Linked DNA regions of Caenorhabditis elegans. The protein of the gene in region 2 purifies or fractionates together with the protein of the main gene of each other region. This does not show direct contact. Each region holds a gene or a part of one and is shown on either strand. Other genes may lie near its edges.

Region 1 (6,144 bases), on a different chromosome or scaffold from region 2:
AAAAAGGAACCCAATAAGTACAATGTGAAAATGAGAAAAAAAGCAAAATAATATCATTAAAGGTGGAGTAGCGCCAGTGGGGATTTTGCTATAATGCACTAATAATGATCCAAAACAACCAAATATCAAAATAAAACACTCCAAAAAATTAAAAAATTTCATAATTTCCGGTCAAAGTTTTGGCAAATTGGCAAAATTTTGAAAAATATGTGCTTTTGAGGAAATTTAAAGAAATTTCGCATGCTCCGACCCCTACAATGTTTTAATACAATTAATTTAAACATAATTAAAGTATAAAAACGTCGAAAAAAAAATTTTTTTTTTGGTCGATTTCCATAATTATGAGTGGCAAAAACTGAGTAATTGCCACTTTTTGACAGTAAATGAAAATTTTTCAAAATTTTTTTTGACAAGTCTTATCATGATATTTGGTCATTTTGGGACCAAAGGAGTGGTTTTTAACAACTTCCCCACTGGCGCTACTCCACCTTTAAGATTAAGGATTTTATCAAAGGAATATAAAATGTGTATATTTCAATTACGTATGATGAATTTTTAATTAGGTGTGTATTTTCAATTTTTCGACTACGATGGATATTTTTGGAATAGAAGTAAGAGTTCACGTAATTTGTCGTTGTCATGTGCTCTAGCCCGTAAAAAATATCCGTAGTTTCTAACTAGAAATCTAAGATCCGAATCAAACGCGTCCCAGAACTCCTTGAAGCGGGTAGCAATTCTTTGTTGTTTCCATATCTCCTGAAAAATGTTATATATTTTTGAGGATTTGAGAATTCACTTACAAATTCCAATACCCGCGTATTGAATTTTTTCTCCAATAGATTTGTTTTTGTCTTCGTACGAGACCAATGGCTCATGTATGTTCCTTCCCTCTTGTTTCCTTTTTTAGCCTGAAAACTGCTTCTTAAGTGAACTAATCAAAATAGTATTTAATTCTAGAGTATCACACAATAAAAAACAAAAAACGATCAATTTGGTACTTCAGAATGCTTGACTAGTTGAGAAAGATGGACTAGAGCCAATTGGGACAAAACTGAATTCCATAGTATTGTATTTTTTAATCGAGTTGGGTCATAAAATGAATGAATTAGAACGCAGAGCCTAATGTTTAATTTTAAAAAAGAAAGGAAAATAATTAAGTGTACAAGAAGGGAAAACAAGAATGGGACTAAATATAGTTCAGGGGTAATGTTTTTTTTTAAATTTGTATTCAAAAATTATTTAATATCCTAATGAAACTTCTGAAAAAATCAGAGAATTTGATGTTTCGAGTCAGAAAGCAGTGAAAACTGAGCTTGCACAAATTTTTTTGGCGGTTCAAAACTTCGAAAAAATTACAAATCTCAAATTTTGCTTGTTTTTCTGTATCGCATCTGCCCAAAATGGACTAATTTGGAATTATCATTCTTTATGACATATTTTGGTAGTTTATCTCATTCACTTTCGTTTCTTAAAGTGGTACTTGTGTATTACATGCCCACATTTTGAAATTAAATTAAATTTTCATTAATTTCTCCAATTAAAATAAATGTGATATACATTTTTCCTCTTCAGGCTTACAAAAGGTTATTTCCTAAGCCTAGAAATACGAAAATGTGGTACACGTTTTCATTGTTTTTAACTTTAAAAGTTATTAAAAAAATGAGGGCAGGTAATACACAAGTACCCTAAAAGTTTATTGAAAGCCGATAGGTAACCAATTTTGGTTATTTTCCTTACCTTTCGGCTTTAGATGTATAAAACGAGACTAAATGAGACAATTCATGAAATTCTACTTTTTTTCCTATTTTAACACAAAAAAGTGACCAAAATTCGAGATTTATGCTAAAATCATTGTAATTTTTACAAAATTTTAAACCATTACTACGAAATTCGCTTATTTTAGCTCATTTTTGGTCCGTTAAGCACAATTAAACGATGAAAATGGATTAAAAATATTTTTTTGATTGACCACTCAAAAACTTGTGAAAAGTTCATGGGTTAAACGTGTAGAGATTTTTTAGTAAAATTTTTTCGAAATGCTGACTTTAGTTCCATAAGAGTGGTTTTAATTATTTCCTCATTGACCGTATTTTGTCTTTAGTGGTTTGCAATAAGACATAGTTGAATATAAACAATTTTACAAAAAAAATGCTCACCAGTTCCTTCCTGTTCAAATATTCTTGGTGTGCCTCTTTCAGCTCTTTTCTAGATTCTTTCAGATTTTTCTCGATTTTTTTCAGTTTAACATCCTGCTTCTTAATGTTCTCAACGTCCTCAATGATACGAATTTTATCATTTTCAAAGTGTTCCAAACACCCGTTAACTTCTTGATAATTTCGAATAATCTCGTTATTATTGATACAGGGGTGTAAAACCGACTCAACCGCTGTTTTGAAAAGCGAATCATTTGAATTGTTGTATGCACACAATTGTTCGTGGGTAATCTTTTTCGTCTCGTAAATTGCTTGCGTTTTTCTCATTAATTCTTTTTCCAGACGTCGAGACTTTGCAGCGGCAATTCTGTTTCTCTCTCGTTTTGTTTTAGCCTGGAAATTGTATTTTTAAATTAAAAGAATCCACTGTTTCCAATTCCGATTTAGCAACCATCTGAAGTACAATTTCTCAGCTGGAAACACTTTAAAAACTCAAAATTTTGAACTAACCAAGTAAACGAATAACATCTAATACAGGATTTACCAAGGAGTAAAAAAGTTGCGTTTTCCGAATTGGGGGTCGATTTTTCGATTTTCAACTAAGATAAACCAAAGTTTTTTGTTTGTTGAATTTTCGATATTTATGTTGAAGAAAGTTATGTTTTCTTATTTTTTTCATCAACATAAACAAAATTTGATCGACATAGAATTTTATTGTTCATTTATAAATTTTTTTTTCGATTTTCCGATTTTGCAGATAATCGAGAAATTGAAAATATTGTGTTTTTTCGATTTTTTCCAAAAAAAATTTTTTTTTAACATTTTACTGTTTTGGAGTCATTTGAAAATATTTCCCAGATTTCGGTACTTCACCTTTAAGTGAATGCGGTCATTAAAAAAGTGTCTAAGTGCCAAAAAAGCCTGAAAATTTACCTTTCCTGATGGGATATTGGACTGTGCTGCTTGTGACATTTTATCATCTTGGTTGATGCCTATAAACGTTAAATTGCGGAAAAAGGTTTAAAAAATATTACTCACCATATGAAACATTTTCATTTTCGGTTATTGGTGCCATCGGCATCCATGAATCTTCGAAATGGTTCTCTTAAATTAAATTTTATTGAAAAATTTAAAAATTGAATAAAAGGTACTTGATCTCCAAATACTGTTGTTGCTAATACTGAAGATCAAGCGACTACTCTAAAAAATATACCTTTGTTCATGTTCGAGTTGTGTAAACCGCCATCGCGAATTAGAGGGAATAATTCTTGTGAGTTCTGAAAAAAACCCATTTTGAGATTTTGGAATCAGAATCTAGCCGAACTTTGATTTTCAGGCCCAAAATGGCGTGAAGCTATTAAATTTCGTAATAACAATTTTCAAAAGAAGTTATAGCGGTACAAAATTTTGAAAAAAAGCTAAAATCTCGCATTTTACCAATTCGACAAAGTCAGAACTTGCGGTAGTAAATTTTCTTGTTTTTTTTGGAGAAATTTTGTGAACGTCTCATTACGAAATCTGATATTTATCGATTGTTTCGGGTTTAAGGTATTCCACCTTTAACTAACCTGTTGCTGGAAAACTTCGTCATAGTTGCAATTGTTGTCATAAAAAATTGGTACTGGTCCAGGGTAGTGTGGCTTGTCCCCTGCCTGAAGACCGTTCAAAATGTGAGGAGCTTGCGCAGAGCTTTCAAGGAATGCAGCCAGTTCATCAAAATGGATTAGTTGTTGGTTTTGTGCAGATCCTTGCACGTGACTTGATAGTTGAGGAAGCATGGATGAAACAAAAAGTTCTGAAAATTAAGAAATTGAACTTAACCGTGAGGGAGCTTTATACAAGAAATCAGAAGTTTTAACGAGGGAAGGCAATCTGAATTTCAGGATATTTGCAGGAAAAGTGATTTTATATGTTTTTAACAGTTTGCAAATGTTCGCATCAATATTTAGAAATGTTTTTTCTCAAAAATTCAGGAAAAAAATTCAAGAGGAGTTTTTGGGCTTTCAAAACGACTTTCATTTTTTATCGAATGAAAACACGAATTTCGAGTTAAACACTGAAAAAGGCAACAAAAAAATGTGTCGTCAAATTAAATGCTGGGTACGCAAACAACTAACTTGGAGCCCAATGTGCTTATCAGTGCAATGAAACGCGGCACATGTTTGGTGAAATGAAGATTCTGAATGTGGGCAAAGGAAGTCACGTCAAATGTGGAAGGCTGCATTTTTTAGATAACAGAGGCAGGAATGCAATATTCAATTTTAATTGGCTGAGCAAATATGGAGATAGAGGTATAGCGGTGAGGAAATGATAGCCGACGAAGGCGTTTATCTATTTTCTAAAAACGCCATGTTTGGTGAAATGAAGATTCTGAATGTGTGCAAATGAAGTAACGTCGACAGGGGAAGAAGTGTAACATTACATAGATAACAGAGCCGAGAATTTAATTTTCAATTTTAATTGACTGATAGTAGGCAAAGATAGAGGCGGAGAGGTGAGGAAATGATAGCTGACGAGGGCGTTTATCTATTTTCTGAAAACGCCAATTATCGCTATTTTTTTTTAGAAAATTGATAACTCGTTATACAACAAAACAGAACAAGCAATGACAGGAGGGAACGGAAATGCCTTCTATCTTTCGCCGGATGGGAGCCAGGGGTATGCGGGTAATAGCCGGTTTAGTCGAATTCGCCGATGGGCTGATTAGACTAACTCGGCTAATATTAACCGAATTATCCGTTAGCCGAATATTTTCCGAGTTAGCCGAATTTGCCGAAAATTAGCCGATTTCACTCATTGGGTTTAGCCGAATTATCCGTTAGCCGGTTTTTTAAAAATCGGTTATCCGCACACCCCTGATGGGAACCCTATCGTCATCAGTGTAGTCCATCCGCAAAAACGGAGATAGAGACGAAGCGATGAGGAAATCATAGCTGATAAGGGTTTATGTGTTTTTTAAACGCGAATTAGCGCTTTTTTTTTGAAAATTGATAACTCCTTTGAACGAAACAAAACAAACAACGACAGATGGGAAAATAAATGTTTTCTTTCAAATGTCCTAATGAATCAGCAATTTGAAAATATATTCGAAAAATACAACACAACTTTGAAAAAGAGTGTTGTCAAATTTTAAGAATTTCTGCCAAACCTTTCTCGAAAATCAACCGAAAACTCTCAAACAATAAATGCGTATCATTTGAAAATTAAAAACTATAGGAACGTTTTGGAAGTAAACTGTATACATATGTGCAGCCACGGCCAAAAAGGTATGAAAAGACAGTACTACATATGCACAAAAACCCAAATAAGTGACTAAGAAACTCCAGCATCGTATATAGGATCTACTCTAAACATGGCATCAAACTATTCCTTGAAACATACAACACTCCTATTTTTCTCTTGAATTATAAACTTTTTAGTTAAAAGAAATTTCGTTTTTGCTAATTTTGGTTCTGCACATGGCCATTTAAATTAGACATTTGGAATTTCAACATTTTCAGTTAAATACTGACTTGTCTGAACCATTTTTTCTAAAGCCAGCTCAGTTCCGTCTGCGAATCCTCTTCCAATGTGAAAATACACAGTTTGAGGAGTTCATAGTAGTACTATCAACAACTCTAGAAATTCCAGTGAGCCATGGCTGGCTCCAGAAAGAAATATTTTGGAACTTCCAACTTTAAGCTTACAAAGTCGGATTTTCGAAATTATTTCAGTATTCCTAGGTAGAATACAGTTCAAAGTCACTGATAAACAACAATTCTGAATTTTAGATATTAGATTCCACAAATTACATCCCTGATGCCAAATATCCTATTTGAAACTGTATCGCCAATAATTTCTCAAAAACCGCAGAAAATATTTTCGAATAACATGTTCAGGGTGTTCACAAATATCGATATACCAATTTCTAACATTTTCATTTTGGTTTATGTTTTACTTTTTCAGAAAACTACTTTTTTAGATAGTTTCTCTACTTTTAACAGACGAAAAC
Region 2 (3,802 bases):
GATTGACAGACGAAAAATAGATTGACAGACGAAGAAATAGATTGACAGACGAAAAATAGATTGTTACACGAAAAAATAGATTGTTACACGAAAAATAGATTGACAGACGAAGAAATAGATTGACAGACGAAAATAGATTGACAGACGAAAAATAGATTGACAGACGAACTATTTTAACTATTTTTAGTCCGTCAATCTATTTTTCGTCTGTCAATCTATTCTTTTGTCTGACAATCTATTTTTCGTTTGCTTTCGTTTGAAAAAGAAACCCTAAAATAATGTCCGGTATTCGGTAATTTTGGGAATTTTCAAAGTTGCTCAGTCCTGGGCTAAAGTAATTAATCATGATCAGTCTTTCAGCTCTGAGCTATCAAACCAATCCGAGCAAGCAGGTGTCATTTTTCAGGCAAACAAATTTGTCACAAATGCATAACGTTGCCTTTTTCCATTCCCCAATGATTTTCCTAATCGCAAATCTTACTACAATCTGCTGGCCGATATACATTCTGCAGAATTTTAAACTCGTAGAATTTCCTGGTCTTCTACTTTCAGTTTTGGATTTTCTCCTATTTTTCCTGACTTTTTATTTTGCATTTCGATGTGCTTATTTGCTCGTTAAAGTGAGAGTTTTTCACAAGAACTTGTCAGTTTTGGCGGTTTTATTGATTTTTCAATGGTTGGAAGTATTGATCGGGAAGATTATTAGTTGGCCGTATGAGACGGGGTATTGGACGCTGGAAGGTAAGGGAAAACATCTGGTTGGAAAAATTTTTTGTTCAGAATTAACAGAAAAATCTTTATTGAACTCAACTATGCAGCAATGGTGGACTGAAAACCCATCAGAAATGATAAAAGTGGACAGTTTCAACCATGATGTTTTATTTTTCATCGCTGGATTTTTGAAAATACACTTTGGGCTTTCCATGTCGAATATTCTTCTGATAGTGTCTGTAGAAAGATCCTGTGCCAGTTATTTCCTAGAGGATTATGAGAACAAATCGAGAACTTGGATCGCTTTACTGATAATTTTTTTCAGTCAAACTTTTACTATGATATTTTCAATTGTGTTCTTTTTCAATTATCTGTCATATGTGTTTGGTATTAGTATCATTGCAATTTCGAATATTGGTGCTGTGATGGTAAGTTCTAAATAAATTAATAAACTAGCGGCTGACACCTTCCGGGCCCGCCAAGCGTCGGCTGCAGCACAAAGTCTTATTTTCTTTTTTCTTCTAGCTAATGCTCTACTCCCGCCACTACAACCAAAAAATCACGAAAATCCACGAAGACTACGCCCATCAATCCAACTACACCCTTGCAGCGAGATTTCAGGCCAAAGAGAACATGAAGTGTTTTGAAATGATCTGGAAAATCGTAATATTCGCACTTTGTATCGGAATTGTCGGTTTTGCTACAGCTCTATCCTTATATTTCCATATTCTACCAGAATTGGACACCATGCTTAACCTTGTCATGCAGGCTATGATAAACCTGCCGCCGTTGGTAGTGTGTCCTGCTATCATCTATTCCGTGGAGTCTTTCAGGAGCTATCACTTTTTGTCGGTTACTTATTTTTGGGAGAAGCTGAAAGTCGGGCACGGGGCTGTGGATATGATGCCGGTGCAGAAAAAAAGTTTTTCGGTGAAACACGATGAAATTCGGAAGGAAACGGAGACTTATTTTAATCAGCTGGCGGCGTCTTGGATTTGAAATAAAGATTTCTGTACACTTTCTTAGATTGTTCTGTGATCGAGTTAGCCCGTCCAATTTACAAAATAGAAAAAATGTATTCAAAAACGTCACAGTTACTTTTAATATATTGTTACTTCTACCTTTCAAACAATTTCGGTGAATCTGTTGACTGTGACAATTACAAAACCCAAATAATTTTATCAAAACTTTTTTTTTGTTGAAATTCTTCATGTAATCAAACATTACTCTACACACACCCCACCGCTTATCACTCTTGAAGAACAAAGGGATTACAAAATGAGTATGGCAGCTGATAATGCACGTTTTTGTGCTCAACTTTACTATGTTCTATATTTTACAACACTTTTTGCAACTCTATAATCTAACTCTACGGCTCTGAAAATTATGAAGTTCTTCATACTAGCATTTCTTGTATTGTGCTCACAAATTGATGCGGCCGACGAGTGTAAGGATACCAGTGATAAGTGAGTTTGGGAACCAAGATATATGAAGTAGTCCATTTTCAGATGCTCAGGGTGGGCTAAAAATGGCTTCTGCACAAATTGCTTCTACACTTGTGAGCAGCGAGAGCAGTATTGCGCAAAAACTTGTGAATACTGTGCTGGACAGAAGACTTGTGAAAATTGTACGGTGACAACGACAACGCCACCACCATCGGCTGTGACGATCAAGTGCGAGGACTATGGGGATTTGTAAGTTTAGGCGTAATCCGTTGTAGGTCTTGGGGGTGTTGGAGTTTCCGGATGTCTTAAAGGCCTTGGAGGTCCTTGGAGGTCTCGGAGGTCTCAGAGATGTTGGAGATCTTGGTGGTCTCGGATGTCATGGGGCCCTTGGAGATCTCGGAGGTCTCGGAAAGCGTCGAGGTCTCGAAGATCTTCGAGCTCTCGGAGGTCTCGGAGGTATCAGAGGTCACAGAGATCTCGGAGGTCTCGAAGGTGTGTGAGGTCCTGGAGACCTCGGAGGCCTTCCAGTTCCCGGAGGTCATCAAGGTTCTGGAGGGCTTAGACGTCTCGGAAGCCTCGGATGTCCTTAAGGTCATGGAGGTCTCGGAGATCCCGGAGCTCTCGGGGGGTCTCGGAAACTAATCCAATCTTCTCCTCACCACAATTCCTATAATTTTCCAGCTGCCACGCTTGGGCGAAGAATGGATTCTGCAACAACGACTGGTACAAATGTTCGGATCGCATCAAGTACTGCCCAAAGACATGCGGATATTGTTCCCCCGGATCTTGCAAGGATGGTAATGCGGCGAATCAATTTTTAAGCCTCGATGACTTGTAATCCCTTGAATTTTTGATATAATGTGTATTTAAACTCTATGATGAATAAGACTATTGTTATCTATAAGGTGTTGATTATGAGTTCAAATGCTCACTGACTGAATGAAGGGGGAAAAATGATGATTTTGCAGTGCAATCTGCCTCATTTCGTAACGACAAGTAATTTCCGACCGTCGACCTTCAGCCAGCCTAGTGGTGCACTCCACGACTGGATTATCTGGCCGGCTGGGGCATGACTTACACTAGAGCTCAGTTGGAGCACCACCAGTCAGTCTGACTCCCAGATTCGCAGTGCATAGAGCTTTTTGAAAGAAAATTTAGATCGTATACAATTGAGAGTTATTTATTCAAATCAAAAACACATCATTGCCGATTCAACATTTCAATTTCTTCCTTAGAAAGCTCTTTCATTATCCGTGGCGCTTGTGTCAAGCACTGCTCATTGCATACATAATCCGGATGGCAGAATCCACAGGTACGTTCGCAGTAGTGCTTGCGTTGAGCACATGTCCATTGGCAATTTGTGCAGAATCCGTTGCGAGCCCAGTTTACGCAGCTGGAAGGTATGGAATAAGGAAATTTCAATCAAAATTCCACAAATAAAACTCACTTTGGTCCAAGATCCTTAGCTGTTGCACAGGTATCCACGTCAGGCTTTTGGAGGAGCTTCTCCAGAAGATTTTGTGGTTTGGCGAGAGCCACGGCAATCACCAGGCATAGAACAATAAGATACTTCATTATTTGAGTCTACGAAGAAGAGTCAATTTCACCAATTTATACTATCAGTTTGTGCTTCAAAAGGCGGCGCC

Evidence for each region.
Region 1: the proteins of Y39G8B.10 (region 2) and Y116F11B.6 fractionate together in Caenorhabditis elegans (co-fractionation; one large-scale study listed by BioGRID). This does not show direct contact.

The regions. Positions count from the first base shown.
Region 1 is NC_003283.11:19,842,047-19,848,190, forward strand, and holds Y116F11B.6 (BZIP domain-containing protein), read right to left. Parts: upstream 3,932-6,144; coding exon 3,722-3,931; intron 3,431-3,721; coding exon 3,367-3,430; intron 3,258-3,366; coding exon 3,192-3,257; intron 3,146-3,191; coding exon 3,087-3,145; intron 2,547-3,086; coding exon 2,157-2,546; intron 909-2,156; coding exon 801-908; intron 757-800; coding exon 586-756; downstream 1-585.
Region 2 is NC_003280.10:13,981,305-13,985,106, reverse strand, and holds Y39G8B.10 (ShKT domain-containing protein), read left to right. Parts: upstream 1-1,991; 5' UTR 1,992-2,059; coding exon of another isoform or gene 2,060-2,092; 5' UTR 2,093-2,097; coding exon 2,098-2,177; intron 2,178-2,219; coding exon 2,220-2,405; intron 2,406-2,837; coding exon 2,838-2,994; 3' UTR 2,995-3,059; downstream 3,060-3,802. Other genes in the region: sre-47 (Serpentine Receptor, class E (Epsilon)), read left to right, coding at 456-741, 781-1,139, 1,237-1,710; Y39G8B.9 (ShKT domain-containing protein), read right to left, coding at 3,357-3,549, 3,604-3,731.